Linked DNA regions of Neodiprion lecontei. The protein of the gene in region 1 purifies or fractionates together with the protein of each later gene. This does not show direct contact. Links are inferred from orthologs where the notes say so. Each region holds a gene or a part of one and is shown in the gene's direction. Other genes may lie near its edges.

The links.
Region 2: the proteins of dnaJ homolog subfamily C member 7 (region 1) and E3 ubiquitin-protein ligase CHIP purify together in Homo sapiens (affinity purification with mass spectrometry; 3 studies listed by BioGRID and IntAct, with this or other methods). This does not show direct contact. The link is inferred for Neodiprion lecontei from reciprocal best matches to the Homo sapiens genes DNAJC7 and STUB1.
Region 3: the proteins of dnaJ homolog subfamily C member 7 (region 1) and protein KIAA0100 purify together in Homo sapiens (co-immunoprecipitation; 3 studies listed by BioGRID and IntAct, counting the BioPlex papers as one, with this or other methods). This does not show direct contact. The link is inferred for Neodiprion lecontei from reciprocal best matches to the Homo sapiens genes DNAJC7 and BLTP2.
Region 4: the proteins of dnaJ homolog subfamily C member 7 (region 1) and BAG family molecular chaperone regulator 2 purify together in Homo sapiens (affinity purification with mass spectrometry; 7 studies listed by BioGRID and IntAct, with this or other methods). This does not show direct contact. The link is inferred for Neodiprion lecontei from reciprocal best matches to the Homo sapiens genes DNAJC7 and BAG2.

Annotation. Positions count from the first base shown.
Region 1 is NC_060261.1:11,734,084-11,744,635, forward strand, and holds dnaJ homolog subfamily C member 7, read left to right. Parts: upstream 1-3,728; 5' UTR 3,729-3,891; coding exon 3,892-3,977; intron 3,978-4,968; coding exon 4,969-5,126; intron 5,127-5,223; coding exon 5,224-5,348; intron 5,349-5,727; coding exon 5,728-5,916; intron 5,917-6,010; coding exon 6,011-6,129; intron 6,130-6,423; coding exon 6,424-6,577; intron 6,578-6,753; coding exon 6,754-6,918; intron 6,919-7,099; coding exon 7,100-7,265; intron 7,266-7,368; coding exon 7,369-7,515; intron 7,516-7,602; coding exon 7,603-7,755; intron 7,756-8,023; coding exon 8,024-8,130; 3' UTR 8,131-9,828; downstream 9,829-10,552. Other genes in the region: protein ecdysoneless, read left to right, coding at 1-41, 257-446, 1,249-1,699. UniProt on the Homo sapiens protein: Acts as a co-chaperone regulating the molecular chaperones HSP70 and HSP90 in folding of steroid receptors, such as the glucocorticoid receptor and the progesterone receptor.
Region 2 is NC_060262.1:16,938,525-16,945,715, reverse strand, and holds the start of E3 ubiquitin-protein ligase CHIP, read left to right. Parts: upstream 1-3,228; 5' UTR 3,229-3,241; coding exon of another isoform or gene 3,242-3,262; 5' UTR 3,263-3,382; coding exon 3,383-3,499; exon of another isoform or gene 3,500-3,513; coding exon of another isoform or gene 3,514-3,552; intron 3,553-4,107; coding exon 4,108-4,306; intron 4,307-7,191. UniProt on the Homo sapiens protein: E3 ubiquitin-protein ligase which targets misfolded chaperone substrates towards proteasomal degradation.
Region 3 is NC_060264.1:2,171,921-2,179,151, forward strand, and holds the start of protein KIAA0100, read left to right. Parts: upstream 1-2,849; 5' UTR 2,850-2,952; intron 2,953-3,024; 5' UTR 3,025-3,064; coding exon 3,065-3,123; intron 3,124-3,215; coding exon 3,216-3,342; intron 3,343-3,436; coding exon 3,437-3,628; intron 3,629-3,722; coding exon 3,723-3,974; intron 3,975-4,049; coding exon 4,050-4,211; intron 4,212-4,294; coding exon 4,295-4,507; intron 4,508-4,566; coding exon 4,567-4,834; intron 4,835-4,895; coding exon 4,896-5,118; intron 5,119-5,190; coding exon 5,191-5,309; intron 5,310-5,376; coding exon 5,377-5,697; intron 5,698-5,811; coding exon 5,812-6,245; intron 6,246-6,318; coding exon 6,319-7,231. Other genes in the region: N-glycosylase/DNA lyase, read left to right, coding at 1-177; SPRY domain-containing SOCS box protein 3, read right to left, coding at 639-841, 920-1,147, 1,219-1,447, 1,531-1,721, 2,046-2,154. UniProt on the Homo sapiens protein: Tube-forming lipid transport protein which binds to phosphatidylinositols and affects phosphatidylinositol-4,5-bisphosphate (PtdIns-4,5-P2) distribution.
Region 4 is NC_060264.1:8,008,269-8,015,276, reverse strand, and holds BAG family molecular chaperone regulator 2, read left to right. Parts: upstream 1-2,641; 5' UTR 2,642-2,878; coding exon 2,879-3,044; intron 3,045-3,361; coding exon 3,362-3,474; intron 3,475-4,082; coding exon 4,083-4,307; 3' UTR 4,308-4,880; downstream 4,881-7,008. Other genes in the region: receptor expression-enhancing protein 5, read right to left, coding at 252-484, 1,264-1,390. UniProt on the Homo sapiens protein: Co-chaperone for HSP70 and HSC70 chaperone proteins. Acts as a nucleotide-exchange factor (NEF) promoting the release of ADP from the HSP70 and HSC70 proteins thereby triggering client/substrate protein release.

The DNA of each region.
Region 1 (10,552 bases):
GACCTGGCGTAATGCTCCGCACCATGATATCGAGTCATTGAGTAAGACGTCTACGATCTTAGAAATTAACTCTGATTTCTAAACACATCTTGTGTACTTCTTTTAAGCGTACCATTTGTATATATATTTAAAGAAAAATTCAAGTTTATTGTTTCAAAATCAACACTACTTCAAAATATGAAATTGTTATCATCAAAAGCATATTTTAAGTGGAAGACGTGCTGTGTGCACATGCTGTATTTAGTTTTTGTAATAGGTGAAGGGCGATTGAGCCCTCCAGACAATGATAACTGGCTCAACATAGATCCAGAACAACTGCACTCAATGCTGGACCAGCAGTGGTCATCAAATGATCGAATGGTAGATCAGCACCCGCCATCAATCCAAGAGAAAGTTCGGGAATTTTTGCAACATTCAAGCGACGTAGATGGAGTTCAGTTCCCGGGGTACGTTGTTCATAATTTTGGAATGAAAAGACTGTTTTGAGAGTAAATTAGCCAGACCGTCAAATTAAAGAATTATGAAAAGAGAAAGAATCGTTCAAGAAATCTCCATGAATATATTATTTGCATGAATAATAAATAAAGAACACGAGTGGAACAGCAATTCTATTATCTATTATATAATAAGTTATCAATAATTGGAGTAAAAGCTTTCATAACTAGAAAGATTGAAATGATTGAACTTTCTTGTTCTTTATCCGATTCTAATGCTAATGGGCTCATTTTGTTCACCATAGAGACTTCCATAGATCACCTAAAAATTTCTACTTACCATTATCTGCAGAGTGGATAAAAATATATTACTGACTACTGTCATTAAAGTATAACAGACCTTCATCAGCAATTACATTTGTGCATTATAGCTATAGGTTGATTACAAATTTCTTGCATGTTTCTCATACAATTTGTGATAATTTAGTTAGTGAACTAAGCCGAAAAACATTAGAATCTGATCAAAAACATCAGAGTTTAAGCTCTTGGAACGTTTCTAAGTGTAAAACTTTTTAAATTCTTGACATCTTAGCTTTAACTATTTGAATTTGCTCGGAATCTTTTGTATTATACAGTGGGGATGTTGTTTCATTCGTGATTACTATCATTGATTTGAGCAACATCTCTGGAAATTTTGCAAAACAGTTTTATTCTCTATCCCAACTTTTGATTCTGACGGTCTAACCAATTCATCTTTAATTTGACTTCGATCTGGTCTGAGTTGCATAGCCAATAGTGATGATTTATGATTCAGCCAACTGTCCAAGTCAAATGACGATAACAGCGAAATCAGAGCAAATGGTGATGCCGATGATACGAGGATAGACTTCAATGCAGATGCATTTGATTCCGCTTTACGTGGAATCTTGGATCTTGTTGTGCCAGGAGATGAAAATGATTTCGACAGCAACTCGGAAGGTTCGTTGGGTGGAAGCGAGGAGGATAAAGGTGGTGAATTGGACAAGTACATGAGACTGCTCGACTCTCAACTAGAAATGGATTTGCACCTTAGCGGATTACGAGAAAAATCTAATACAGACACTTGCGTTGAAGATTCGACTATGGAGCTAAATTTAAAAGAAAGCGCAGAAGGTGAAGCAGGAGGTGCAGGAGCTGTTGGAAATATTCTTGGCGGACCCATTCGACGTCTCTTGCATTTACACCTGCAATCACCCTCGACTGTTCCACCTGACTTACAAAGTTAAATTTTTCACAATTATCATTAATTTTAAGTACGACGTCAGTAGTCAGCTTATCTCCAATATATTTGGACGAAAAGCAATCGTATTAGCCAATGTATTGTGAATTGGCAACTATTGACTTGCACTATTTTTATTTTTTTATTCTCGTTTTATATCTTTTGTATTATCAACACTAGCAGTAAAGTTCTGTTATAACTTTCCAAATATTTCGTCTATTAAACGCAATTGTAAATTAATATTATCGTAAACATTTGAGAGCGAGAATTCCTTCTTCGTCTAATAAACGGCAATCGCCTATACTTACTTACTGAATTCGTTGTTTTGGCGATACGCCAATTGCATAGCTCATAAGGATGCGCCTGCTTTCGCGACAAGATCCAACGTAAGTTGGATTATTAAGCTTGGACTACAAACACTCACGTCTATTCGTATGCGTATGTACAAATAAATACTTGTATACAACACCTTGCGATATGTCGGACAACATACGATAGGAATGGGCGACATACATTCATGATGTTTCGACTACCGATGTTTTTTAAAGTCTATGGAAAATATTGAACTATCGATATCGTCAAGCCGAAAGTAATTTAAATTTCTGTGCAAACATCTGTCAGCAACTTATCTATAATAAGTAAATACACATTACTAATTGTAAGGTCGATAATAAATCTGTATTTTCTACGAAATTTCTCGCTGTTAATTAGAGTATTTAAATATTTAACTTTCCATAATTTACTTTATATTAAATTCTCATATTTTGTACACATTCTTAATTAACAATAATGATAATTAAAAATTTTCGCGATCATTTTTCTTTTTACAATTATAGTTAGAAATGTTTTAACTTTCGCGCCTGTTTTCGCCATCGATATTAACAATCTATTTTTCGATATTTACAGAAGAACATGGATTGTTCGATACTAAGGAATTGAAACGATCGATAGTACGATCGTTTGAAACGATTGATATTTTTTACCACATAGCCCGTGCCTAACAATCAAGAAAATCTTACATTTTTCGATTGTCACTCTTTAATTCGGATTGCGCCCAATTGATTCCTTTCTCAAAATTACGTTGATATAATGTATCAAATAATTGATTCCAGCATCATCCAAAATCTTCAATATTTTCACCAAAAATACAATGGGGGCCTTACTTTTATAAAGCGAAATATTTTTAGTCTTAGTATCGATTTCTATGATCCTTGACAGACTAATTGGTCCCTCATGAATGCAGAAAAAACATAACGTCCGCTGGACCAACAGCAGAGAAATTACGAAGGAAACTTTTCATTTTTCGGTTGTAACTCTTGAGACGTTGCTCACAACGTATTTGTAGTGCGCGCAATCGATTTCTCTCGCATAATCACGTCGATTTAGCGTATCCAAGAATTAAGTTGCCTATTTTTCAAAATCGGCCGGATATAGACTGAAAAAATCCTTGCTATTTTGCGATTTTCAGAGCTCGGAAAATTTTCATTTACGATTATAAAAACAGTTGTATATATGTCAATCTATAAATTATGACAAAGTAGTTAAAATAATTATAAATAGAATATTCAATTGCATATCTACATAGAAATCTGCGAATTTGAATTTGAATAGTAAATCGAACGTGCAATTGCACAAATAAATTTGTTCATACTCCATTATTCATCAATATTACCAGATCTCTTCTTCTTCTTCTTTCAAATGGCTATGCTAGGGAATGGAATTTCGAGAACTATGTTAGGTGTTTTAGTTGTTTAATTACATATTCATAAATTACTTTCTTGGAACGCCTCGGATAAAAATCTTAATACGAATGTTACTGGAGTTCGAAAGCCGCAGGAATATTACCAGATGCGTCGGCAATACATGCAAAACTCATACCATAGACTTCAAAAATATTAACCAGACGTACGTCGACATGCTAAAAATAACGATTAGAATTTAGGAACGACAAATTCATACATAGTTCAAAGTCATGTCTGTAGATGCTGGAAGTAAAAACGGGCATAAATCTTAGCTCAAAGACCATCTTGATGTTCGGGAACCACGGGACATTCCATACATTCTGTTCTGTCAGTCTTGCCCTGCAGAGTTACGGTTTTCTTCGCATTAGATCTAAAAGTCGTTTATAATTTATAAATCATCTAACTTGTGGTGATCGAATAACTTTTAGTACTCAAGTTGCTTGCAAATAAATAAAATATGGCTGAACAACTGAACGATGAAGAATGGGACCCCATCGATGATCCTGATCCTATTGAAGAAATACAACCCTTTACCACTGAAGAGTGAGTTGTTATATCCCAGATACGCTTCTAGAGCTCCGAAAAATCACAACTCGCTGCAACTTGTGTTTTTGACAGCCATGCAAATTCCCTTCGATTCCTAACTTAGTGGTTAACAACTTCTTTTCAGATTTTTAAACCCTCGTCGACATTTTTGATCACACATTGTTTCATCGACAAGCATGCTTAGCTACAGAAAGCAGCGTTTATATGACCTCCAGGCCACAATGATGCAATATTTTCTTTGCACATAGTTCATTCATATCAAGTACATTAATTCTTATCTAAAACCTCAATCGGTATCACAATCAAGAACACTAATCATATGGTTCATGGATGGAGGATGAAGTTGGTAATATTAATGTAATGATGCATATTTAGGCAACGATTCTTCATATCTTTAGGATTATCCAATTTCTCTTAACAAACCATGATAAATAAAATATATTTGTATAAATTCCTTGAAAGTCATTCTCAAATTGTGCTATAATGATTTTTTCACTGCTTTATATTTTGTTGCAATGATATTACTAACGTCAGCCTTATTGTGATGCCCACTTTTATTGGCCATAGTCTCCAAGTTAATTAAATTTATAGTATTGGTCATATAATGGAAGTCTGTTGTATTTTTTTTGTTGGGTCTCATACTTTTCCAGTAATCGCTCGACGTAATTCAATTCTCTGGGCACTGACTAGTGATATTACGACTCAATTTTATTTTGTAAGCTCTTGATAGTTTTCTTTAAGACAATTAGTGTCTATGTAACATCTGTTGTTTCCCAAGATCTGCTTGTTATCTGTGCAAAAGGTTCACTTCTCATATATATGTGATATTTACTTATAATTTGTCGTTAATAAAGTTTAGAGTAATCCATCAAATCATCTTTCAAATGTTGGTTAAAATTTTTGCTGAATTTTTATTTTTAATATGCTGTCTTTCATTTTCTGACATACATACATGAAAAATTTGAAAAATATTTTGCTATTATTTTAGTGTTCAGATAAAGGCACGGAAGATGGATAATAAACATTCTAGGTACCTATATATTTCTTCTATTTTCAGATTGGCAGAAATGAAGAAAGAAACTGGCAATCAACTTTACAAAACCAAGAAATACGCAGAGGCCTTAGCAGTTTATACTGAAGTAATCGGTAGGTGTCTATGAATAATAACAATGGAAAAGCGTTTGTTCTGAACGTGAAGAATTCATTTTGTGATCAATTATTCAACTGAACAATAATTTTACAGAGCTATGTCCCAATTCACCAGCGTACTATGGAAACCGCGCTGCGTGTTATATGATGCTGGGTAAATATCACGACGCCTTGGCAGATGCTAAGAAATGCATCGCCATTGATCCAGGATTTGTAAAGGTATATAAGTCTAAACACTATGAAATCCGCAACAAAGAGACTCATTTATTAAAGATTAATGAGACCCAAGGTATGAATCAAAAGTTAGGTAGAAAGAAAAATTCGTCTGAAAAATCTCCAGCAATACTTTTTATGCCACGATGGTGAACAAGAATGAAACATCATCCTTTTCTCAAATTGTAAATATCTCAGTTGGTATTATTCGAATTTGTACAGAATCATTTTTATCACATGGTATGGATGTTGTTTCATTTGAGTTCACTATCATTGACAATTAATATTGCTGCAGATTTTTTCAACAGTCTTTTCTCTTTGTTCATAACTTTTGATCACCCTAAAAAATTCTGAAATATTTGTGACATGTATAGTATTCTTAAAGGCTTATCCACGAGTTATGAAATGCTCTCTGATTGTCGGCGATAACATCGGAGCTAGAGCAGCCATGGAAAAGGTGTTGGAGCTGGATCCCAGTAACAGTGCTATTCTCTCGGAGAAAAAAAACTTGGAACACCTTGAGAAATATTTACAAGAAGCAGAAGTGGCTTATGGAAAAAAAGATTTTCGTAAAGTAAGATTCATTTATTATAGAAGTTTGACGAGATCTGACAACAAAATCAATGCTCTATATGAAAATGTTCAAAATTTATTCACATTTATTACAGGTTGTATATTGCATGGACCGCTGTTGTGATGTGAGCACCTCTTGTGTGACATTCAAGCTCCGCAAAGCAGAATGCTTGGCATTTCTAGGCAGATTTCAAGAGGCACAGGAAATATCCAAGTTTGTTATATTTATTGATTGTTTTAGTTTTGGTATCCTTCACCGTTTTAACCCTGCGTGTGAACACAGAGTCTTTTAGGGAGCAGTCGTTTTCTGAATATTAATTTTTGTGAACAATACTTGAAAACTTTTGAGTCTGCCAACTTTTGAATAATATAGTTAACGCTTTGAGAAGAAACCCTGAAGTTTTACCGATTTCTTGAAAGCGTAGAACAGTTTGAAAAAGTGTATGGACAAAAGGTGTAAAAAATCAAGTGTTCACACGGTGGGTTAATCATGTTTTGTCTGTTTTAGCGATGTTTTACACATTAACAAACAGAACGTAGATGCAATTTATGTACGCGGCATGTGTCTTTACTACCAAGACAACATAGATCGAGCATTTATGCATTTTCAACAAGTTCTTCGATTAGCACCTGATCATACTAAGGCGATGGAGATTTACAAGGTAACATCAAAATCCAACTACAGTTTCAACCATATCGTAGGTTTGTACTTACACAAATGAAGTCATGAAATATTCTTAAATCTCTTATGCCTTGAAACTTTTCTCTCTTATCGTTACAACATCTTGAAAACAATATTAATGATTATAATACTTCTTCAATTCTTGTCATATTTCAGAGAGCGAAATCTTTAAAACAGAAAAAAGAAGACGGTAACACTGCGTTTAAAATGGAAAAATATGCCGAGGCATTCGATCTGTATACCCAAGCCTTAACCATAGATCCTCAGAACATATTAGCCAATGCTAAATTACACTTCAATAAAGCATTGATATATGCCAAGGTAAACACACAGTTTTTATCCAAACATATAAATTTGAATATTTGCTTAGGCGGAATGTATAATTTTTTGTAAAAGCTGTACTTCCTTTTTGCATTGCATTGTAATTCATCAGCTTACTGCCACTTTTGCCATCAATGACGTGGTTTATTCCCATATGATTTTACGATAAATATGTTTCCAGCTAAGAAAATTCAGAGAATCTTTAGAAGAGTGTACCGAAGCACTGAAGCTCGATGAAAGTTACCTTAAAGCTTTACTTAAACGAGCCGCCTGCTACATGGAACTTGGAGATTTTGAAGAGGCTGTTCGTGATTACGAACAAGCATGTAAAATGGACAAGAGCAGAGGTACCGTGAAATTAGATAGCCTACAAGAAAAATCAATTTTTGCTAGAAACACAGCATAATTTTCCTTGAATTAGATTTTTAACTTGTCGAATCTTAATTTTAGATAACAAAAGATTGCTGCAGGAAGCCAAGCTTGCATTGAAAAAATCCAAGAGAAAAGACTACTACAAAATTCTTGGCATTGACAAAAATGCGTCAACCGACGATATCAAGAAAGCATATAGAAAGAGAGCCATGGTACATCACCCAGGTAATATATACCGTCATTTTAATTTTTGGCGATTGAACCACATCATTTGACAGATGATTTTTTCATAATGAGTTTCAAATTTTATAGATAAACACGCGAATGCTTCTGAAGGCGAGAAAAAAGAACAGGAGAAAAAGTTCAAAGAAGTTGGCGAGGCGTACGGCATTCTTTCAGATCCCAAGAAACGTGCGCGATATGACAACGGTCATGACTTGGAAGATATGGAGGGTGGAATATACGGTGAGTATTTGACTTTTCTGACACTGACAAAAAAATTATACTATTCCATTAAAAAAAAAAAAAACTAAATTGACTTTCATCTGACCTTGGCAATTCTGCTTACGATAAAACTGACACTTTCATCTTCGAACGATAAATGTTTTGCAGGAAATATTTTTTCGTATCTTGCATAGTTTCAGAGTAATCGGCCTGGGGCGATTAAAATGAAAGACCCTGTATATCCCTATAACACAACAGTTATGCTAACACGTAATTTTTTTTATTGCAGAAATGGATCCAAATGCAATGTTCCAATCCTTCTTTGGACATCATGGTGGTGGCTATCAGTTCCAAGCAGGCAGTATGCCCCACGGTTTTACTGCCCACTTTGGTTAATTCTATTTCAGTACTACTGCTATATAATAGATATGTGTACGTCATGAGATGAAATGTACCTCTGTATATAAAATCATATCCATTTGATCTTTGGGTTTCTGTATCGTTCAATTTGACGAAAGTAGCTTGCTCAGATATCTGACTAGTTATTAAATTTTCATATTTTTTCTCTGAATGTTTTTTTCTTCTGTTTATGTGACAGAATAAAATGTCTTCAATTATACCTATCAAATTAAGGTTTCCGACGTACAAAATTTCCTCTTATTTGCAGAAATTTGAAGAAATTAGTGTAAAATCCATTTTTTCTCAGCATGTTAAGTGATAAAAAAATATGTTCAGTTGACAATTAGCATTCTGATGAAAATATTAACTGTTCGTTTACAAGTGAGGAAAAGTTGATTTTTCGACACGGCAAATCTCTCGGTTTTGACCTGAATATTTTGATCATTACATTAACATGATGAATAGATGTTTCTGTCAATTCTTCTCAACCAGAAGAAATTCATTATCTGACAGGACCGAACAATCACAAATATTACAATATATAATTTTATTTTCTTCCGTATTTCATGAAAATCTGAGCAAATTGAATATAGCAATTTATCACATATACTTTATTTTTCCGTTTGCCAAATAGCGTGATGCAACTTGCATTCAATTGGTAACGGAAATATTATTCTTCTTCGTTTCATTATGTTACATCACTTTATAAGATGAATGAAAATAAGTCTACTAAACGTTTACTTGATATGAAAATTTGCTGCACTAATTTTTGTAGCTGATTGTTAGTTTTATCAAAAGCGCAATTGAAGATGAGACTTTCAATTTCTGATAAGCTGCAGGCTTGGAGATACAGTGACCAACAGTCGAAATGTTGAACGAATATTCAATAACTCTTCCATTATTGTTCTTTGCCTTATTAAATCATGTAAACGTGTGTTGAAACGTTCTATTATGGTATGAAATACAATGACGTGGCAGTAACCATCGAATATATTTATATCATTAGCATAATCGTATGACTGTAGCATGGATCATTGATATTAAAAAATCCAACCGATGCATGCAAACTTTACTAGTCTGAATCACAGTGATTTATCTCAGTGTTTTACAAAAGATTCCATGCTACAATTTTCCTCCTTATGATGAGTGAAAGTTTAGCACATATTTACTCAATGCTATACTAATCAAGGCATGTCAAGGCAAAAAGAAAAAAATATCATCTTGCCTTGTATTGCGCTAAGTCAGTTACCCTGGATTAATTATATACTAAAACTGAAATTAATAACCCATGAATATTTGAAAAACTGTTATCTTTACAGTTATATATTGTGTGATAGGGACGATTCTTTACAAATTTGTACAGCTCTATTTTATTTTTGGTTTTCTACTATTTTTTTTCGGTATAATTATTGCTGATGAATACGATGTGACCAGAAAAACTGTAATGCTGACATAAGCAACGTGTTGAAATATTCCTATCGCCATCGATTATAATTTAAAATATATATTTAATCAAATTTAGAAAGTAATGTTTTCTGTGGAGTAGATGTTCGATGATATCAGATGTTTCAATGTAAGAGTTGAGATTATCGGAATGAAGGTAAAGAGTATCTTCATGAAGTAGGCCTTGGACCCACTTACACCTCAGACTGCATTATGTATACTCGTAAGAAAATAAAACTATGACTTAACATATATTGTATGTCTATAATGATATGTTGTTTTAACTTGATCTCATGTTACATGCATTAAATAATACAATATTGTACTCCTGTGCTGATTTCTTTTCGTCGTTGCAACATATATAGTTGAAAAATTATAAAACAGGGTCTCTGTTGTCTTTCATTGGAAATGAAATCAACTGATTCAACTTATCTATCAGTAAAGGTAATAATTATGAAATTCTCGTGGATTTTCGTCTTGATTTACTGCAGTAAGCTGAACCCTGAAAACTGGTAGTATTTTCTCAGCAACGATTCTACGACATCCTAGCCAAGGTACATTTTGGGTACCCATAGTTTGAATCAGTCCGAAGAGCCAGCTTCATTTCTACCACTGAGAAATTTCTTTAGGTCATGCAAAATTTATTCTGGACTATCTTCTAAATCAGGAGTCAATGTTTTATATAGTATGTAGACATTAGAGAAAACGCAATTAAGGCTTCCAAAGTTACTGTCGAAAAACAGAAAAATTTCGTTGTATTTTCGCAGTTGTTGATCTTACGATGTGGTTATCTTTTTTGAATTCCTGAGGGTACACAGTCCAGTCGTAGTAGGGTTCTAAAAATCGGTTGCAACGGGAGAAAGTTTAAATAAATATAGTTAAACCTTAATCCGATGTAATGTATCGAGATTAGTCGATTGCGCGCAGTTTCAACTCACAGTTATCAATTGCGGAAAAGTTACAGATGAAAAACGAA
Region 2 (7,191 bases), on another chromosome or scaffold:
TACGATGCAAATATGCGAGAAGTTTCAAATCTTAAGGAAAATAAATATTACGACTGTTATTATTTCATCATGTAAACCATACAAAGTCAGTTGGGACGAAATTTAGGTTCTTGAGTCAGAAATATTATTCTGACAATATGTGAGCATAAAAAGTCAAAACCTATTTCTACGATTTTTTTTCCGGAAGCGCCGAGTCATTCAATTTTGTTGCAAAATGAGCGCGCAGCAAACTTGAAGAATCAATATCTCATCTCCGGTTCTACTTAACGTAGAAAAATTATTCACAGCACATTCGCGAGCAGAGAGGATAAGCTTTCGTAGAAAACTTTGGTTTATCCGGAAACATTGAACATTGTAATTGTTATTAACGAACGAATTGTTTAATGATACCATTTTTTGGCGAGGCTTCTACCATTTTATACATTCTGTAAAAAATCTTTCCGATTACAAATAATCCGTCGGGTTTGACGAGGAATTTCCCATTCATATTCATTCCGAATGACCGTACATTAGATATCTGCTATCGGTAGTAAAATATTGAACACGGTGAAATTTAGAGTGATTCGTAAAAAATGAATATCTTAATTTCGAAAGAATTATCTCAACTTTTCGGATTATTCAAGATGATCAAAATTTTTAATCACACTATTCCATTTCATCAGATTCGACCATTCACTTTTAACATTTTTGGGTATAGTGAGATGGCGCCGACACATGGTTGTAAGAGAACAGAAGAGGACCCATGTATTTGTATGTGTCCTTATAAGATAAGGAGGGGAGGGTACGAATTCTCTGCCAAAGTATATTTTTATCGACAAGTACTAATCATGTTATGGATTCTGCATTGAAAAAGCGAAACAACCAAATGAACACGCTTATATTTTACAGGATAAGCCGTCGTAACCGTTGGACGGACGCAATGTCACATGCCGCGAGGATATCTTCATGGAGTGGTGAACTATGTTCAAATTACATTACTTCGCAAAGGATGTTAGAAACTCCCATCAACCGGGAGAAGGAACTGTTTCGCACAACCCGCAGCTTCATAGTTACCTCGAATCTCAGATACTATTTCCTTGCATTTAATATTTCAGAGGGTATAAAAATAATCCTCAACGTCGATGTCAACAATTGTTTCATATATCCATAGTAACATGAATAAAGTGTTCCAATATTATGTATAATCATTTTTTGAAACCCTTTTCACTAGTAAAATAGCTTCGAACATAAAATTATTTCATTGTTGTCAGTAGAGTTGTGTGTAACAAGTGATGTACAATTTCAGAATGATTCCGAAACAGTAATACCCCGAAGTTACGCTATGGGTCGTTCCGGCATTCACGGCGTAAGTCGAAAAAAACGTAAGTCGGGGTGCACGTTTTATACAACTGTATAATGTACATATATATATATATATATATATATGTATAAATACTCACCAGAGATAATCATGTATATACCTCATAGAAAACCTCTGAAGAAGAATGAAAAATACTCTTTATTTTGGAAATGCAAAATGTTCGAGCACAGTCGTCTGCCGACACAAAGATTTTTTTTTCTCGCGCACAGTCACTATCCGTAGACTGAGCGAATAATCGAATACAATGTAATGCACTGACGGAAAATAAACATGACCATTCAAGTTTGCGACAAGGAGAAGCGGAGTTGGGCGGGGGGGGGGGGGGGGGGGGGGCGACCGATGGCGTAACTTCATAAAACGAGACCACAACGATTCGTACCCGTTTTGTTTCAATCGTATTTTTCGAACATATTTCCAAATATTTACAAATGGTGAATGGTGATATTTATGAAATCATTTTGAAAATACTTCGTGCTGTGTAAAATTAATATTGCGCGATATGTTTTAATGTATATGGGACATTCTTTTACAACCAAACACCTTTGTGACCGACACATTTTTGATTCAGCTGAAATTTTTTTTGACGAGTTCTATACCGAAAAAATAGGGATACGTATTCGAGGATTTTTTATTTCACATATTTCGTAAAATAGAGGGGATCGAAAATTTGATAATTTGGTGTTTTTTGGCTTGGAAGACTCACTTTCAAAAATTCATAACGCCGGTTCTATTTGAGCTGGAAAGTTCGTTTTTTTCATCTCAAAGCTAATTAAATGAATTTTATTACAACAATTCTTTCATTAACGATTATTCCGATGTTTATACTGTTATAAACAATTAATATGTTCCGATCGATTTTTAAAAATTGGCTCAACCTCGTAGCGAGTTCTTAGCACAACCATCGTATTCTACGTCAAATTTTTTATCCATAACGTATTTTGAATTGATGGAGAATACGATGGTCGTGCTGAGAACTCGCTACGAGGTGAAGGCAATTGCTAAAAATCGATTTAAACATATTAATTATTTATAACAATATAAATTTCGGAATAATCGTAAATGAAACAATTGTTGCATTAAAATTCATTTTATAAGCTTTGGGTTCAAAAAACGAACTTTTCAGCTCAAACTGAACCGGCGTTATGAATTTTTGAAAGTGAGTCTTCCAAGCCAAAAAACACCAAATTATCAAATTTTCGATCCCCTCTATGTTACGAAATATGTAAAATAAAAAAATCCTCGAATACGTATCCCTATTTTTTCGATATAGAACCCGTGAAAAAATTTTAAGCTACATCAAAATTGTGTCGGTCGATTTTTATCTAAATCTCTCCGATTCGTCAAAGAATGTCCCATATTCAAGGGTGTTTCACGGAACAATAAATTGAATTTGCTATATTCAGCGTAAAACTATCAAAATAATCAGTTCGGTCGTGATGCAATCGCTACACACATGACGTCATCATTTGCATGCAAAATTCGGGTCAATCCTGTTGGTATGGTTACCGACTCAGATTCAGGCCTCTTACCGACCGTGTTTTGTCTAATATTGTGTTGCGCTACTCCCCGGTGGAGAGTACCACCTTCGAATGGTTTGGAACCGAGGAAACTTACGCAGAGGGCGCTTCGTTCGATTACAACTTTCAGATCCAGGTCAGCGGCACCATAAGATCACAAGAAGCCACGATCTACTTCATGAGCAGCGCTGCTGCTGCGTAAACTTACCAGACTGATGCTAGTGAAAACTTGTAAGTTACTAAACCACTGCTGCTTTTTACTGCTCATGAAATAGCACCCTTAAGCAACGGCGGCTGGGTGGAGCTGATAATGCTGATGGCCGTGACTTATGGTTTGTTACCGTGGTTTGTATGGATAACCAAAATGGAAGCGAACGTACTTGAGGTTATACAACAATGACAGATTTAATTCAAATCCAGTTTTATTTCCCTTAAAAGAACCGCGCATAGCACTATAGTGTATTAAAAATTGAGCATCTGCCCTATTTCTGACATATCGAGCGACATGAGTAAGATGTATTCAACAACTAACCTTTCTGATAAGGAGTTGAAAGAACAGGGGAACCGCTTGTTCAATTTGCACAAATATGAGGATGCAGCCAGTTGTTATACAAAAGCAATCGTAGGTATTGTTCGATGACTAAAAGCAAGAGATATTGGATTATTATATCACGTGTACGTATTTTCGTACGCCTTCATATTTAGAAGGATCCCACACACACCAGCTGATGATAACTATATATGACTAACTTTTGATGAACTGGTGTTCATAGCATTGATATAATAATACAATTGGAGAAAAAATTATTATTCCGTTGCTCTAGAATTGTCTAACATTAGATATATCATAATGAAGCGGAACGTGTTCATATTTTGCAAATTTAGCTACCATAAAATCATTCTGATCATAAGAGTGATTTTTTGTTCAGGGTTTTATTTTAATGTTGCAAACTTGAACCTTGTGACTTTTGAATACATGTGCAGTTTTGTATTAGTGGAATAACCTGATTTAGGATCAAGTGGATGACGAAGTTCTTATGCCACAGTTAATTGTGCGCTTTGTGCTGCGTGATGTGCAGAGGATTCTTCCAAAACATAGAGGTGTACAATAGTCACCACAAATGCTAACATTTTATCGTGACCATTGGTTCAGTTTTCGACTGGAGTCTCCACCTGAATGAAGGTTCACATCAGTGCTCAAAGACAATTATTCACTATATTTTGTTATAGATCAAAAATCCAACTCAAGCTACATATTTCACAAATCGTGCCTTGTGCCACCTCAAACTCAAACGATGGGACTCGTCCTGTCAAGACTGTCGAAGAGCTCTTGATATAGATCCCTGTCTAGTCAAGGGTCATTTTTTCCTAGGCCAAGCACTTCTTGAACTGGAACTATTTGACGAAGCTGTCAAGCATCTTCAGAGAGGTAACAGCTCATATTCGTTTTCAAAATTATGTACCCTAAGAATATTTAAATTATGATTGTTGAATTGAAGACTAAGCACAATTGACTAGCGTGTAAATGAACTCTTGAGCCATGCGTAATTTTTATCTCTAAAGATTCATGACTGTTACACAGAAATCGACCTATTATACATGTAGGTAATTGTACATCCCGAATCTTGCACAGTAAATTAACTTGCAGAGTCAATTAGCTATTCGGAAGCCTGTTTACTGAAACTATTTTAAAAAACTTAATCTCATAATAAATATTCCGTTCAGTACCTTCATCCTCCTTATAAAAACTGAAAAAAAAAATTACTGCAATCCTTTTTTTACGGCAATGTGTTCTGGTTGTGTCAACCCTTTGATGTACAAGATTTCCTTGTACGCTAGCCCGAGTTATATATTCCTACTGTACTTTTCTTTCCTCAGTTTTCAGTCGATTTTTTTTGAGCCTTATCATTATGTTTGCTAGATATGTCTACCTGATGTTTGGGATGTTTGCTATTTTCTGTAGATCTTGGACCACTTACAGATGGTCAATGGCTTATTTTTTACACAATTTCCCAGACTGTTGTTCGATATTATATCATAGGTTGTATGAGTCCATAATAAAGTTACTTCATCATATCATTTGCAATCTTGATTATGGTCGTGTAGTGATCCGTGGTCATCGTCTGCAATACCAACGAAGATCGAGTCACATAGAAGCGTACGGCTTATGGGCCGCTTGAAGCAAAACTTTCCACGACTCGTAAATCCGTAAGATGGCTCTACCGTCGGTCGACAGTAGAGAGTTAGCACGATCACCCCAACTCGCCAGTCGGAGCCAACACACCGACACTGTTCGCATTAGTATAGAGCGCTGTACGTGAGCCACACAAGCAAAGGCGCCACTAGCGACACCTAGCTGTTGGGGGGATAGCTCGTCCGAGCACCCCAACTTTTCTTGCTTCAAATAGCCTGCAGGCCGTACGCTTCTATGGGACTCAATCTTCGTTGGTAATACTGCTGCTGTTATTTCTTTGGTATTGTCTCTTTTAACATACAGGGTGAGTCAGTTAAAACGGCCAGAATGGGAGGAGCTCAGTTGACGGATCAGGCCATACCCCTTAGCGAATCTGGAGCGAGTCAATTGAAATACCGAGAATGGGAGGAGCTTTGTTGACGGATTAGGCCATAGCCCGCGTGTTGATATCAAAGTAAAGTTTGCAGTCTGCGTACAGGTATTCAGTGGTAATACGAAATAAAGTCACGATATGACACCAAGTGAGGGAATAAACTCTTATTATGATCCGTCACTTGTTGTCATATCGTTACTTTATTTCGTATTACCACTGAATATCTGTACGCAGACTGCAAACTTTACTTTGATATCAACACGCGGGCTACGGCCTAATCCGTCAACAAAGCTCCTCCCATTCTCGGTGTTTCAATTGATTCGCTCCAAATTGGCTAAGAGGTACGGCCTGATCCGTCAACTGAGCTCCTCCCATTCTGGCCGTTTTAACTGACTCACCCTGTATATGTGATCTATACATGTACTGCTTGTTTCAGTCTCGTGTATTGGTGTAATAACCGCTGATGTGTATCCATGCTCAAGCACCATGTTTCAGTAATCTTCCTTCCTTCCCAGATCTCGCTGTTTTTGCAGATTTATATGTCTGCTAGCTGGTGGCTCAAGGCTACAAAAAATTGAGAAAATCTGAATAAATTCATGTAGTTTAAAGAATCCTCGGTCAGTCAGCGATGTTCTGGGACACCTACTGAATATGTAAAAATGATGAGTAGCGTGCAAAATCTTAGGAAAAGCTGAAAATTTGTATACTGGTGTATTGAAGCATTAGGGATACACATCCACTTGTTAGTCACTCTAATTCCGGGACCCGACCTATTCAGTCAGCATTTTGATGATGCCCGAAAATAGGCTACACCCTAGGTAGCATGCATACAGGTTACAGTGCAAGGCATGGAACATGCTCACATTCCCCCGGGCGTTTATCCAAAGTAATTTAATACTTACAGAAGCAGCATAAGTAGTTTGGTGTAACAAGCGGTATTAGTAATAACGGTCAATAAATATATAAAGAATTTTAAGAATATTGAAAATCCATTTATCAATTTAAAAACCATTCAAGGCGGCTGCGATACATTTACACCTCTCTCTCTCTCTTTAATTCTTTCTCTTTAAACAACGGTACCGATTTTATTGAACGATAACCAAAAAACGAGATATCTTATAATTGTTATAGAAATAATATGCATTTTGTGTGAATAGAGTTTAGATTAACTGCAGTAGAACCAGACTGTTTGAAGTAGTAGAACTTACATTGACTGCTCTTTATAACCACCAACGTTTAGGTTACTTCGTCTCATTCGTTATAATTTTGTGAGTAAGATTTTGTTCATTTAATGTCTTGTAGATAACACTGTACTAAAAATAAATATTACAAGGAAATCTTACAACACGAATACCTGGCACGTTGTCTGCTTTCGCGCATCATCAAAATGCTGACTGACTAAGCCCTATCCTGGCATCAAACGAACTAGCTAGTGTATGTGCATGCGTGATGTTTCAATACACCAGTATACCAATTTTCAGCCTCTCCTCGGATTTTGCACTGGACCGATCATTTTTGCATATTCACTAGATAACATGGTCAGGTATCCTATAATCTCGCTAACTGACTAAGGATTGTTAACATATACACCGAGATTCAGCTGCATACATATTTTCAAATTTTCTCAATTTTTTTTGTAGCTCTGATTCACCAGCTCTCCGACTACTACATATTGACGATGTTTGTGTTGACATTCTTTGCCTGGATTGCTTTGGCAATGTTGCAAATTACTCTTCTCAAGTTGTAA
Region 3 (7,231 bases), on another chromosome or scaffold:
TTCTTGCGCAATCTTTGGGGCCCGCTTGCCGGTTGGGCCCAGGCTGTTGTATTCTGCGCAAAATTAAATAATAACGATTTAGCTCTAAGTAAAAAGAAACGTGGCTCAAGCAACAAGGCTGTAAATGGGAAGATGGTTAAAAAATTGAAGAAGAGTGTAGTTAGGTCAAAAGAATAGGTGAATGAAATCACGAGCAATTTAGCACATCAAAGTTTATCATTTAATGTGTAATGTTTGTAAAAAAAAAGAATGAAATGTTGAAGGAGTATTTTAATTTTTTAATAAAAGTTGAAAATTTTATGAATGTAGGTTTTGTCCTTTACACCTTATTGAGATACAATTTTCAGAATAACTACTAAATATATACATATATATATATATATATACATATACATACATTTTTTTATATACATATTTACTTGAAAGTATTAAAATCAAAACACCGGAAATATAAATAAAGACATGAATATACATCAACTTTACAACATGAAATAAGTTTAATGCAAAAACTTTTGTTTACATATCGTCGAAATTAGAATAAGTATAACAGCCTGGCTCACCTGATTTAAAAGATGAGAAAACCTGCTGTGCGATACTATCGCACGTTCACGCTACAACCTATCATTAGCGCAATGGTCTCAGTCGCAGCATATCGTACATAGAGGTAGAGCAAATAGAACAGAAGTCGTATTCCCACACATTTCACATTCACGTCTCGCAGTGCCAGGCATACTGCCATCGTCTTGGGTCAAGCTTCGTCTACTCTTCTTAAAACCTACTACCGCAACATCGAATTCATCCAAAATATTAAAATCTTCCGATAATTCATCTTCGTCCTTGTCTGAAATAAAGTAAGCTTTATATTCTTGGAGTAAGGCCTGATGTGGTCAAATATTAGAAAATTTATTACGAATCTTACTGTAACTGCTTTGCAGTATATTAGCGAAAATGCTAGTCGTGAGATGGCGGAGACCAGGAAAACCCTCTAGTAGCATAGTTCGGAGCGAGGGTTTCAGGGCAGCTAAGCACTCAAGTTGTAATGTCACTGGGATTGAGCTGCTGTGCGTTATGCGTATTTTGCTTTGTGCAGCTGTGGAACTGATCATTGGATATAATTCTAAGCCTCTAAGTCCAGTGAAAGCGATTCCTGGCACAGGAAAACATGCTCTGTAGATTCGGAACTAAAAGATTACTCATTCAAAGCATTATATTATTTACCAAGTGGTTTTCTATTCAAATAAAACTCCAATGTTCCTCTCCATGTATCCAGATGAACTCCGACAAGACTACCTTGTGCAAAGGGCAGGCTGTACTTCTGCTTCTGTCCCCGATGCTGAATATCTCCTTTGTACGAAAAACCCCAAGACTCCGAGTCCAGACCAAGTAATGAAGTAAAAGTGAGACCAGAACTTTCTAAGTTTACTTTGCTTGTGCCGACGCCTATCATCTATGGAAGCAAAGGAAGCAATAAGTCTTGTTAAGTCTGTACCATAAACGGAGCGATTCTTTGAGAACAGATTTAACGCTCACAATGTCAGTTCCGTAAACTTGGGTAATCATTTTGACCTCCCAATAATGATGTCTTCCACTGGCCATTAATTTGTTACCTCGAACAGCCGAGGTTCCCATGCTGTAGCCGGGGTTGAAATTCACCTCTAGGTTCATTTTTGAAAGGCGCAAAGTCTTGCTGGCATATTTCTCGTCCCACTGCCATTCTATCTCTAGGAAGAAAAAATAAGCAAGATAGTTGCTTAACCCTTTCGGTACGGACACATTCTACGTCGCGCCGTCCCTACTGACTGAGCAGTCGCGGCAAGCGTACAGTCATCGCTCGTACAGAGCGAGCGTCAGGCGTTGGGTGACTATAGTCACCGCTCAGACAGAGCGAGCGTCGGGCGTTTGGTCACTATAGACACCGCTCGGGCCGAAAGGGTTAAATTACATTTTACGCCGACGAAAAAACTCACTGTAAATTTTTGAATTTAATATTTGAAATAAATGTAGTCAGATCGTTCTGAAAATATGAATCACAAGCGAATAAATACCATTTTGCTCGCCACATAGACAGTCCTCTTTGCAATCACAGTATCGTTCCCCCGGCGTCACAAGTAAAGCATCCAAATCGTCACGCATTTTGCAGTCAATAAAGTACATTCAGAAACTATGAGGGTGAAAACCCGATGAAGAAGATGTATGCAAACTTATTCGCAATCAGCTGTGCAGCGTTGGCCGGTCCGCCTAACCTAATCTAAAAATATCCTAACCTTAATTGCGTTACAGTATCGCCAGATAAAACTATCCGAATACGAGCTTAATACCTACTCTTTTCGATGCGAAGACGCTGGGGTATCACTTGTTTATCCTCCTTGTAGTTTGGGCAGCGAGAAACTAGCGTGTGACTTAAACCAACAGGCCATTACGGTTTTTGCGTGGTAAAACTTGACTTGTGGCATTCGGCAAGGTCGTTGATTCCACGCATCTGTCAGTGACGAATATACGCGTAGGGGATTTTTACGAGCGATACGAACCGGTACGAAAGTGAAATAAATAAATACGGTGTTTACGCGACTTCTTGTTTGTTATTTCTCGACAGTTTTTAACCACGATAGATAAAATGGAATTTAATGATAATCAATGACTCATCGACCATGTCCATTTTATAGTTTCCGTAAAGATAGGTCAGTTTTTTTTACATCGGTCAGATCAGGTGGGGTTCGTAGCTGTCATTCACGCACGCCTACGTCAGATTTTTCGTAGATACTTTTTATCCTTTTTATAATCGAATTTCATTAATTGGGCCTCTGCTATCACGAGTGGCTTAAGACATGACGATTAATTTTTTCGGTGACCAAACTTGCCACACGAAATTAAATCGTTTATTACTGATATGAGTTAACCATCGGCTACGGGCTGACTAAGCGCCTATGTACAATTTCGAAAGACTGAAGTATTGTATGTATAACATATGTACATAGGTTAGAATTACATGTAAATAATTTATTACACAACGATTATAATTGGCAGCGTAACACCCAAATGCTACTGTTATATTAAAATTTTCAAAATGACGGGGCTACTCGCGTTTATTCTCATCTGTCTCTTTCTCTACTGCAATTTTACATGGTAAGATTCTTCTATATTTTTAAAAAATTTTGACTTTGTTTTTTTCACTTGTCGTACAACGTGCACTTTCAAATTCACTGTCTCATGCTTAGGGTGATACCGAGACTACTGGCATGGCTCGTAAAACGTCGTTACAAAATTCACCTTAGAGTCGGCCACATTTCCCTGCCCTACTTCATACTGCGAGATGTTACTGTTACCAAAAATGGGTTTACTGTGGTACGTGCATGTAATGACTGATGGAGGAATTTTCAAAATACCCATATGTCCTCTATTTAGGACTTTTCTACTGTCTTGTTAATACATCTTTCAGCAAATCGAAGAAATTACTGTACGAAGCAGCTTATTCAGCAGCGATGTTGCTAAGCTGCTGGCCGTTGTAATGCGCGACGTCCGTATCAACAAAGATGTCCCGGTTCAACCTTCTTATCCAAAGAAAGATTATAACAAACCACTCGATTTTAGAAACAAGAAAATACCGCCGATCATTATCACGTTTGTACAGGTATTCTAGGGCATAGCTGGCAATAATACAATAATCTGATTTGTAATTTACTCAATTCAATTCGTAATGTACGAAAACAATTCTCTTCATTCAGTTCATGGCTGTTCACGTCGAAAACCTGAGTCTTCTAGCCCTAGGGAATGGTTGGTTGGCCAATGGGAGTGCGGAGAGTCTAAGTTTGGATGGTAGTGTTGTTCACGGGACACGGACTCTTCTTGCATCTGCTGCTGTTGCTGGTGGGGCGATGAAATTATTGCGACACGCATCTGATGCTTGTCTGGCACAGATCAGCTTCGCAGGGAACATTGAGGCAACGTTAAAGGCACAGGGGGAACTGTCTGTGGAGGTTCGTTTCATGACATGTCAGCCAGTGAAGCTGAAATGTGTAAAATATCTACATTGAATACATTCTTCTCCACAGAAACTATACATAGGCGTGACTCAAACCGAGGGGTCTGGGGGGGCAGGTCTTCTACAATTTTTCAAAGATAGAAAAACTTTGACGCCCACTGAGCAGTCTAGCAAAGCACTTGATCGTTTCACTGGACCACTGCTAGCTCGATTGGCTCCAATGATACCTAAAGTATGTAAAGAATATGTCAAAAATTTATTGCTACTTAGTATTAATTGCCATGCGACACATTTACCTGAAACTTCAACTTTTAGAATTTGACTGTGAAAATGGGGAGTTCTTCAGTGATTGCTGGGAGAGAAGATGGAGGGCGAGTTGGCCTCGAGGGAATGATGAAAGGACTGCATGTGAATGCCAGATTCCAACCAGCAGGTCCGCAATTGTACTTAGCTGTGAAATTGGATGGACTATCGATTCGTGGAAAGCAGCCAGTCTTAACTCTGCAAACACTGTCAATAGATTCTAGGGTAAATAGCAACACGCTTTAAAAGTATTCCAGAGAACTAATAATTATTTATGAAAATAGTTGGAAGAAGATGTTTTACGGATAGCGACCCAGCTACATAATCTCTCCGTGACTTTTGACTATGCCGATTGGGACACAGTGTTACTCAGCAGTAGCTATGATATGTCAAAGCCAGACGTCGACTTGACGTCAAACAAGAATTTCTCTTGGCCTGGAATACGAGCTATAACCGATCTGTATGGTGGAAATTTATTCATTAAATTACCTGACAGTCAAGAAGCATCGTGTGGTTTATCTCACGTGAAACTTTCGTTGGATAGAATAGCAGGTAATATTTGAATGGTAAAATGTTGAAAAACGCACTACTTTGATGCTTCATCGCCATTTAGACAAGACCATGGGGTGGAACACAGAGTTGTCCGTCGAATCTCTAAGGTGGACTCTAGACAGTGAAGACGAAGGTGCTCCAGGAACTTCTCATCGATGGGGAAGCCCGTTATATGTTGGAGTATTTCTAGCAACAACGCGTCCAAATGCTGTCGGAGTATTTCTTGACGAACTGAGGGCAGAATGGAGCCCCAAGCTTGCAAGATTCTTAGAGCAAAGCTTCAAGTAAGTGATTGCAGTCTACAAAATTCATGTTCAGAGTATTTTTGGTATATTTTTAACGAAATGTATTTTCAGGTATTACAACCAGCGAAGGACATTAATGCACAGGCAGTCAAACATCCCAAAACAAGATGAGATTCAGTTCAACCTGAAAATGAGAAATTGCAATTTGTTTTTCATAGCTGAGAATGAATGTGAGCAGCTAAATATTCTTGAATAAGTAATAACTGTTGGCTATCGTTGACTATATAATTATTTCAGTATCTGTGATGGTGCGCATGGATTCCTCGAGTCTGGAACACAATTCCGATCATTTTATAGCTGTTGCCGAAGGTGTATGTGCTATAACGCTAGACAAAGATAAACCAATCTTATGTGAACGTGCGCAAGCTCTTTCAAGTCCTTTCTTAGCCCTCAGGAAGTGCAAAGGAGCCATTACAAACGGTAGTATTAATCTCAGCTTGGATGGATCCAGCTTGGCTTGGAGTCCCAACCTGCATCTTAGACTACTGCAGCTTTGGCACGAAGCTGCAGATTTTAGAATGATAGCATTCACAAAACAGGGCGAAACTTTAACTACAGGTGAGAAAGGTGGATAATGTTGAAATTGCAGATCAAGAAATCCTGTATTTTGTATAACTAGTTTTCGTAACTGGAAATATGACAATTAAACCATCCCTAAATTATTTGCTACAGACTCCGTAAAAACAAAGCGATCTATGGATTTATTAGCTACTGGTGGTATTACCTTGTCAATTGTGATATCGCCAAGGCATTTCCTTGAGTTATCTTTGGATGAGCTTCGTTGGACTGCGGGTGAATGGAGGTTTAATTACTTGAGAGCTGCGCTGGATAGGGCAGATATATTGACAGTCGAAGGCGTGGAGCTTATCCGAATTTCTGAAAGTGAGGAAGTCAGATTAGAAAGAGCGAATAACGAGGGCTTTGACTTGGACTGGAACACGACATGGGGCCTTTACATAGAATCGTGTAAAGCTTGTTTTCCTTACGAACATCAGTACACAAATGCCATACAAAATGAACTGATGAGCATCCGAAAATGGCTTGACCAAATTCATGCACGAGAATCTATGGCGGAAAAGCAATTGCCGAATGACCTAGTGATCAAAGTTAGCATCTTCCATTATTAGAATTTATATATTGCTAATGTAAACGGTATTAAGACAAGCAATTTATTTTCAGATCAAGGAATGGTTATTTGAAGTAAGAGATGATCCTTTCGAAGTTCGCCTACGAGACAATTACGAACTTCTTGAAGACGAGTACAAAGAAAGTTTGAAGCGACAAGCAATGTTAGACTCCAAAGTACAAGAGTTGTGTAGAGCGCATTTGCTCCTTCCTCAAGGTAAAGTAGACGAGCTCTACGCCAGTTTAAACAAAAAGAATGCGGAAATATACGTTCAAAGATGGAAACAAATGCAGCGAGCTGGTCCTGTAAGAACGCGGCTCTGTGCCTGGACTATGCAAGATTTGGAAATAATAATATTAGCTGATCCGACGATTCACGGAACAGAAAAAGCGGTCAAGGCATTAAGAGAAATGGACCCTGAATCTCCTTGGCCCGAGGACGGTCTTGAATTTAGCACATTGTGGGTGAGAGGGGTCTCTGTCAAATGCACAGAATGGAAGCTACAGTTACGTGATTTCCCGCAACCACTGTTGTTAGTCGAGGGTCTAAGCATTTGGGGTAGATTAGCTGGAGCCGAGGCCTTGGCACCACCTCGAGCAAGGAGAACAGTTAGAATTGAAGTCGGAGCTCCCTGGGACGATATAGTAGTAGAGCGAGGCATGACGTCTCTGAAATACTACCATGACTTAAACTGGGACATTGATAAATTCAGATACGCCTTTGGACCTTGCTGGGAGCCTGTAATTGCTCAGTGTAATCTGAGCTTCGAAAAGATCATTCATCCCTCGAGAGATCCGAGTCCGCCACTTCCGTTCTGGGACAAGATGAGGCTTTCTTTTCACGGCAGATTAACGCTGTGCGTTAAACAATTGACTATATTGCTGCATGCCTCCCTAGATCCGTATAATACGACCGAAGAGATGGAATTGACTTGGACAGGATTGGAGTTGGATTGGACTCTGGGAA
Region 4 (7,008 bases), on another chromosome or scaffold:
ATTCGTTGTACTAACACACGAAATATGCACTCTTGTATTTTTGAAAAAACCAAAGAAAAAAAGAATAAAGATTGATATGTTACCTCGATTATGAATTATCAAAGAAATTTCAATGTTTATTAATCTCAAAAACTAAAAAGTTGATCCTTGAATAATAGAATGAAAAGAACTGGATCTATAAACTGGTATTGAGCAAAGCTTATGTTCTTTTCATGAAGGCACAACTGTGTAATAAATTTTGATCTGCTTACCTTGATTAGCCAGTAAATTGGAAGCCAAAATACGATATAATCAGCAAAAAATTCGATGATGGTGAAAACTGCAAATACAACCCAGTAAGTTAGCCATTTTGTATCGTCATCTTTTTGGGGACTTTCCAGAGCTTTCATGGAGCAATAAGCCGGGTACAAGAATCCGATAATATTGCAGACCAACTGCTGGCCTATCCCCACTACCAAATAAACTGCGAGAAATCCCACAGATGCTGAAAAAACCAATGGTAAAATAATTCTACTACTAGAAGTAACAAATTCTAACATTTGCATACTATTATTCGTGATAAATACAGCGAGGAAACGATGTGGATTAACGGGTTAGAGATTTTAAAGGTAAGTAATTTCGTTAATAAGTAGTTAGGCAATTACCATATTTAATTACTGTGAAGAAATCTTTTTCGGATAGATTATTATGAAACAAATTCCGTTCACTATCCATACTTTCAACACTTTCTTTACGAGCCACACCTGCCATTGCGGATGTAGTCTGATAAATTACAAGTTGGAAATGTAGCCAATCTTGTAATTTTGTTGACAGTACTTATCTTGACAAATGAGGTAAGCTAGTGAATTCATGATAACAGTTTATCTGGCTTAGTAGTCGTGATGAATGGCCAGCTTCTATTAAATAATTTTGAAGTAAATGAAGGCAAGGAGTGTGTCATGTACATACGTGGAATTTGTGCTTTAATCAACTTGCGGTCATTTTGCAAATCGGTTAAGATTGTGTTAACGTTAACTTATCTGGAATCGAAATGCTGTCTGGAGAAAAATCAAGACCACGTTTACTGCGTGTATAAAAACTTAAATAAGGTTGATCAACAATTGATGTTTGCACGAAGTAAGAACGAAACCCGAGTTAGTAAATTGGGGCCGAAGGATAATAAAACTGAAAATGGAAAGATTGTTACATAAAGGAATGACGGGCAAAATAAGTGTTCAAAGTGCAAAATTCATGACAGAATGCGTGATAGGTAACCTAACTTACCTAGAAAAATGTAAAGCCGGTCTATCCCGATCTTTTGTTCAGCAATTGCGAAAACATTTGTCCACGGTTTGCTTTCATCTCGCAATGCTTTATCCAACGATTCTTTTATCACTGCTATTCTGGCCATTTTTGTTTACAGGAATCTGTACACCTGCTTTCAATATAAAAACCAAAGCGTCAATCGCCGTCAGCGGGTTGATACTCAATGCCACTCAATGCTTTAGTATAGGAATCTTATTCGACACCTATTGCGACACATTACCACCTGAATCGAGCTGGGTGATGAAATAACTAAAGATTAGTAAAACTTCTGAGTTTTCCCCCACGTTTGTTGGTAATACAATTTTTTTCGCAGCGCACTCTTGAGAGATAAAAGTAAATAAATTTTCATTGTTTGCTGTTATTAAAATCAGTCCTACCACTCTTACTAGCAATTTCCTTTTCAACATTTATTTTTGTCGCTGTGGTAATAAAATATCATAAGTTTTCAACGTAGTTTTCAATTGGTTTTCAAATAAAAAAGTGGAAGGGGAAACTTGTGTCAACCCGCTTATTACCATCGAAGGTCTTTTACCGCCGCTTCGTCTTTTTTGGGCTAGCCTTAGATGTAGCTGGATCTTACCACCGGCAGGGCTACATACCGGAGAATGACAATAGTAAACGGCAACTTGACAACAGCCTGAAATCACCATACAACATCACATAACACAACTGGACCAATGTAATGAAAATATACACCATATATATTTATAATATGCCGACTACATTTGATTTATCGATTCTCAATACAGCCGTTCAGTGTGCAGATTTGTTATAGCACTACGTAATAGATTACCGGCGGAGTTTGCGAATGCGGCTGGTTGTCGTTTGACGTAAATGCAAATCTCGTACACAGCTGAGCCGGCACGATTCTTAAATTCTCAATATTTTCGAATAGGTTTACATGCAAAGCATAGACTTATAATTCTACTTATATGAAGCAAAGTATATATACTTTGTTCGTATCAATTGCGTGCCATTTTATGCGCCAGCTCTGCGCCTGTCATTTTAACAATTTTGGCGGGATATTCGCATAATTTGTATACAATGTGTAATATACATACTAACAGCAACTATCATGCGTTGACTGATATCATGTGTATTCACGTCCGTTTCTCCATTTATTATCCATAAAATTTTTACAATCACAGCTGCAGTCGGCTGCATTTTTGACCGTACATAAATAATAACACCTCTTATTTTCTGCATAAGCATGCACAGCAGCCGACGTACCGCCTTCCGTTAGATCGGACCAATGAAAGACATTTTCTACTCGATACGCCAATGCGCCACATACCAGTGTCGCACTCAGCAGTTGGTACCGAACTTTCGCGATGTTTCCCATCGAAAAATTATACATACATATAGGTGCTGAGTACCGATTGATTGTCAGATCCACGAAGGCTGTCAGATCCAAAGGAAATGAATTATCACTCGTAACGTGTTGTTCCACCGGGTCGTAAAATTGTGAAACACTATTTTTTCGGAAGTTTTAATAGACGTTAATTGGAATTACGGTAAAAGTGTCGTCTCGAAGTAATTACGAGTGGGAGATAATAGCCAGTTTGCAGAAATCATGGACAACAAACAGAGAGATAGGTTAGTCAGTATCCTCGATCAGGTCGAGGCTCGTGTTGAGGAGTTGAGAAGAGAAGCGTGGGAGCTTGAGGAAAAGAAAGAGAACTTATTAAGCACGTTGGACGCGCTTCAAAACAACGAAAGTGTATTTGAATTAGTGACCGGTAAGTTTGGATCGAGTTCGGTAAGTTCGATCCATTTAAATCCGTTGACAACAACTATGAACAGAAAATTCTAGAGGTTAACGGAAACAACAGGAATCCCCGAGTTCACGTTGCTACGAAATAATGAGATAACAACACGTAGTAAAGAATTTTTCCAAAATTTCCTACTGCTGTAATAGAAAAAGACAAACCTGTAAACAAAATTGTGTTTTCACCGTGAATTGTGAAATATTGCTATGATTCTTTCTATTTCATATCTAACACCATTATCCACAATCACTTTTAATCAATTATTTTTTTATTCTATAACCGAGTAGAGGAGAGAGAAGAAATCATGAGATCGGTGGAGAGGTTGTGGGTGCGGACCTCGACAGTTGAAATCCTCATTGAAACTCAGCGAAATACAGATCAAGAAGAATCTCTGCACAAGGTAGGAAAGACTTTTTTATGATTGATGTTTTGCTGAATGAAAATCATTATACGTAACCATTAAACATCCTATTTTATCTATGTTTTTCCACGTAATTACGCAGTTATTTTATTTGTTTATATTTATATTTTTGTAACACAATTACTTTTTTAATTAGTGAGTAGGTAATTAATTTCCATAATAAAATAGATGTAACAGACCACTGGCTTGATAGTGGTTGACCACTGGGTGGCCAGCTAACGTAATCGTCACTTTTTGATGGCTTGCATCAAGACCAACACTGCCTGCTTATATGTCAATAATTGATTATATTACTAGGGTGGTAGAAAATTTAATATGTGGTAATAGTTTATAATACTAGAATAGGATTTTTCATATCTTGAGAGACGTACGATTTCAAAACCGTTGTTAAGGCATTTGCTGTAGCATGAATTGCTGGTGATGAATATTCGATATAGCTAACATATTTAGTGAAATTTAAAATGATTTATTCGGATATTCTACATCGAATTATTTATAATTGATAATTAACCAGTGAAAACTATTCGTCACAATTTTTTAGTCCGTAGTATATCTGATCCGATCTGACGTCGTATGTTTTGTTACAGGTAAATGATTTGATCGACAGCTTGGTCATCCAATTGCAAGAAGATCCCCAGGCTACACGAGAGCGATGTAGGAGGTTCATGAGTGCTTGTACTTCCCATGGTCCGGAATATTCAGAACAAGTTTTCGAGTCTGCCATTTTAGGTTGTACTTTAGATGATCAAAAGCGTATCAAAAAAAGACTGCAGGGGCTGCTAGATTACATTAGTAAGATGCATACAATATAATTTTAACGAATATACGTTTAAGAGCTTATTGAGAAGATTTCTCTTTACTTTGACTTTCGAGCAATCATATTATATACCATCATGGTCTTTAACATAGTATATTATTAGAGTTCCATAGCAAAGAAGCAACATTTTCAATGAAACATTGCAGATATCATTTCCTCATAATTGATCAACCAGATTGCAGGTGTTCCTCAATTTCCTAGAGAACAAGCTAAACGACAATGAAGAGAAAAGTTCGAATTTCATATTTACGATTGTAGATAAAAAGCAACTCTGATAACACATAGCTAACGTATAGAGCATGAAAATATGAATTACCATTCAGCTACATTAGAGGAAGAAATCAAATTTAATCTAAATCGAAAGTTTGGTCTGTTTGCTGTCAGTCCGTTTTCTGTACTTATTTATTACATGTAATGTGAAAAAGAAAAACTACCCAATGATAATTCCTAATTTAATTCAAATACTTGATATTACACCACGACAAATTAAAACATATTAAAGAGTTTGTAATACTTTTGATCTGTTGAATAATAGGCACAATCGTCTGCAACGCACGTATTAAAAGATTTTTTTTTAAATTGCGACTTCCAGAGAAAACGGAATTATTTTTTTATTCAAATATAAATAGAATAATTCTTGAATAGAATAATACTGTTTTTCTAATCGATTAAATTAAAATCAAATTCAAACCTGGTGCGAGAAATATAGAACCTGTTCCTTATATTTTTACAATTGGTCGCAACTGTTATACTATAAAAGTTGTATCATCAATTGTTAGCTTAGGTATACATGTGTGATAAAAGGTTAAAAAAAATTCGTGAAAAAAATTACTTCGTCATAATCTATAAATTGATTGCGACTAAATCAAATTTATTTCGACTGATAAGACGTCATAGAAAATGACGATTATTTCAAGACAATGTAATGTCTCTTGTTATTATTAAAAGCTGTTATACAATTGGGAAGACTATCGAGAGTCATCAAGTCTTGTTACATTGTGTTCTAGCATAAAAGCCTTATTTTTTTATCAAATTCCTAATAACATATGTAATTTTTATCCTGTAATCTTATAATAAAAGCGTAGCACTGGGCTGCACTCTATGTGATAGAGTACGAACATTTTTTCTTTTTTATACGGATATGTTTCACAGACATAGTTGACCTGCTATTTATAATCCGTATACATTATATGTATATAGTATATGTATATTGTGTAAAAATCATGTCTATTGTCATTGCTGTGATAATGGACATTCATGTGGAATACAAACATCGAAAAGACAGAAAAGAATGTACGTTTATCAATATGCCTTTTCCACAAAAATATTCATTGGTCGTAACGACACACATATATAGGTATAAATCGGACCTTAAACATCAAATTGTCTCCAATAAATGTGTCAAGCTGCCATTCCTATATAATTTTCCCGGTATTATTATATAATACACATATACATGTATACGTATAAGCGCAATGTGTTTCAATCGTGTCTAAATAAAAATTTATGCCGAAACGTAAAATTCATTGCAATGGTAATTTTCTACGCTGAGTAATTTGTATTCTTTGTTCAGGCAAATACCGCATCTTCGTCACAAAGTTACCCAATCATCAATTTTGTCAATTCTTTCATTAGTCTTATCAATTTTACAACATATCTAAAAGGCCGTAATTTTATTACACAATACAGCTAACGCGTTTTTGATAGTAAAAATGTCTTTAGCCCCAATAATTTATAACCACGTATCTTGGTTTTCAGACATGAATTTGCATATTCACCACTGTAATCGCTGTAATAAAATGATAAATTCATCGTGGAATACGTATTGTGCGGGCTCCAATGTGTACGACGAGTTTCGACTAATTGTAAGTTACACAAGCACGCAACGCTGTACATACTTGCGTACAAACATACGTATAGTATTTTTTATTTTTTCAATTTTTTTTATCATGTATACTCAAGTTGTTACGCGTAACTCACAGGTGTCTGGTGATGCCTGCGAGGTATTACAGGTATATAACATACTTACCTATATATATAGGTACACTTATACTCGGTCATTGGCTCTTCCGCAAGGCCTTGTAAAAGGTGAAGGCCACCCGTCGGACAACAGAAAAATACGTGTACTCGAGATTGCAGTTCCCTTCATACTTTACGTGTGCGCTTAACACTAATATCGTTATTTGTTATTGCATTCTGAAATTTTTTTTTTTCGTATCGTGCATCGTCCAAGTATACGAAACTCGATTTCCGGCTCTTCTACGGCGCTGGTCGCGACTGCATTCACGTAAGGAGATTCACTACCGAATATATACTATGCATTTCATAATGTACACTATATTTTTTTCTTATCCTCGGCAACGGTTAAGCTCATACGTCTGTTCAATACATAATGCACACGACAAGCACCCGTTATACCTATAACGCAATTTTGACGATAATTACGTTCTAATGATTGACAGGTAAGTTTCTGTTTCATCATTCTCTTTCTTTTCTCTATGCGATAAGTAACTCTTTGTTTATTGTATTTGGTTAATTATTTCGGCGTAGGTACACACATCCATCCTTCTAATTCATTTTCATATGACTACCGTATGCGGACAGCGTTTTTTCATTCTTTACATATTTTCTTCTCATGCGATTCATTAAATTGGTGTATAAACGAAAAAACCAATTGATTCGCAGCCTGTCGCATT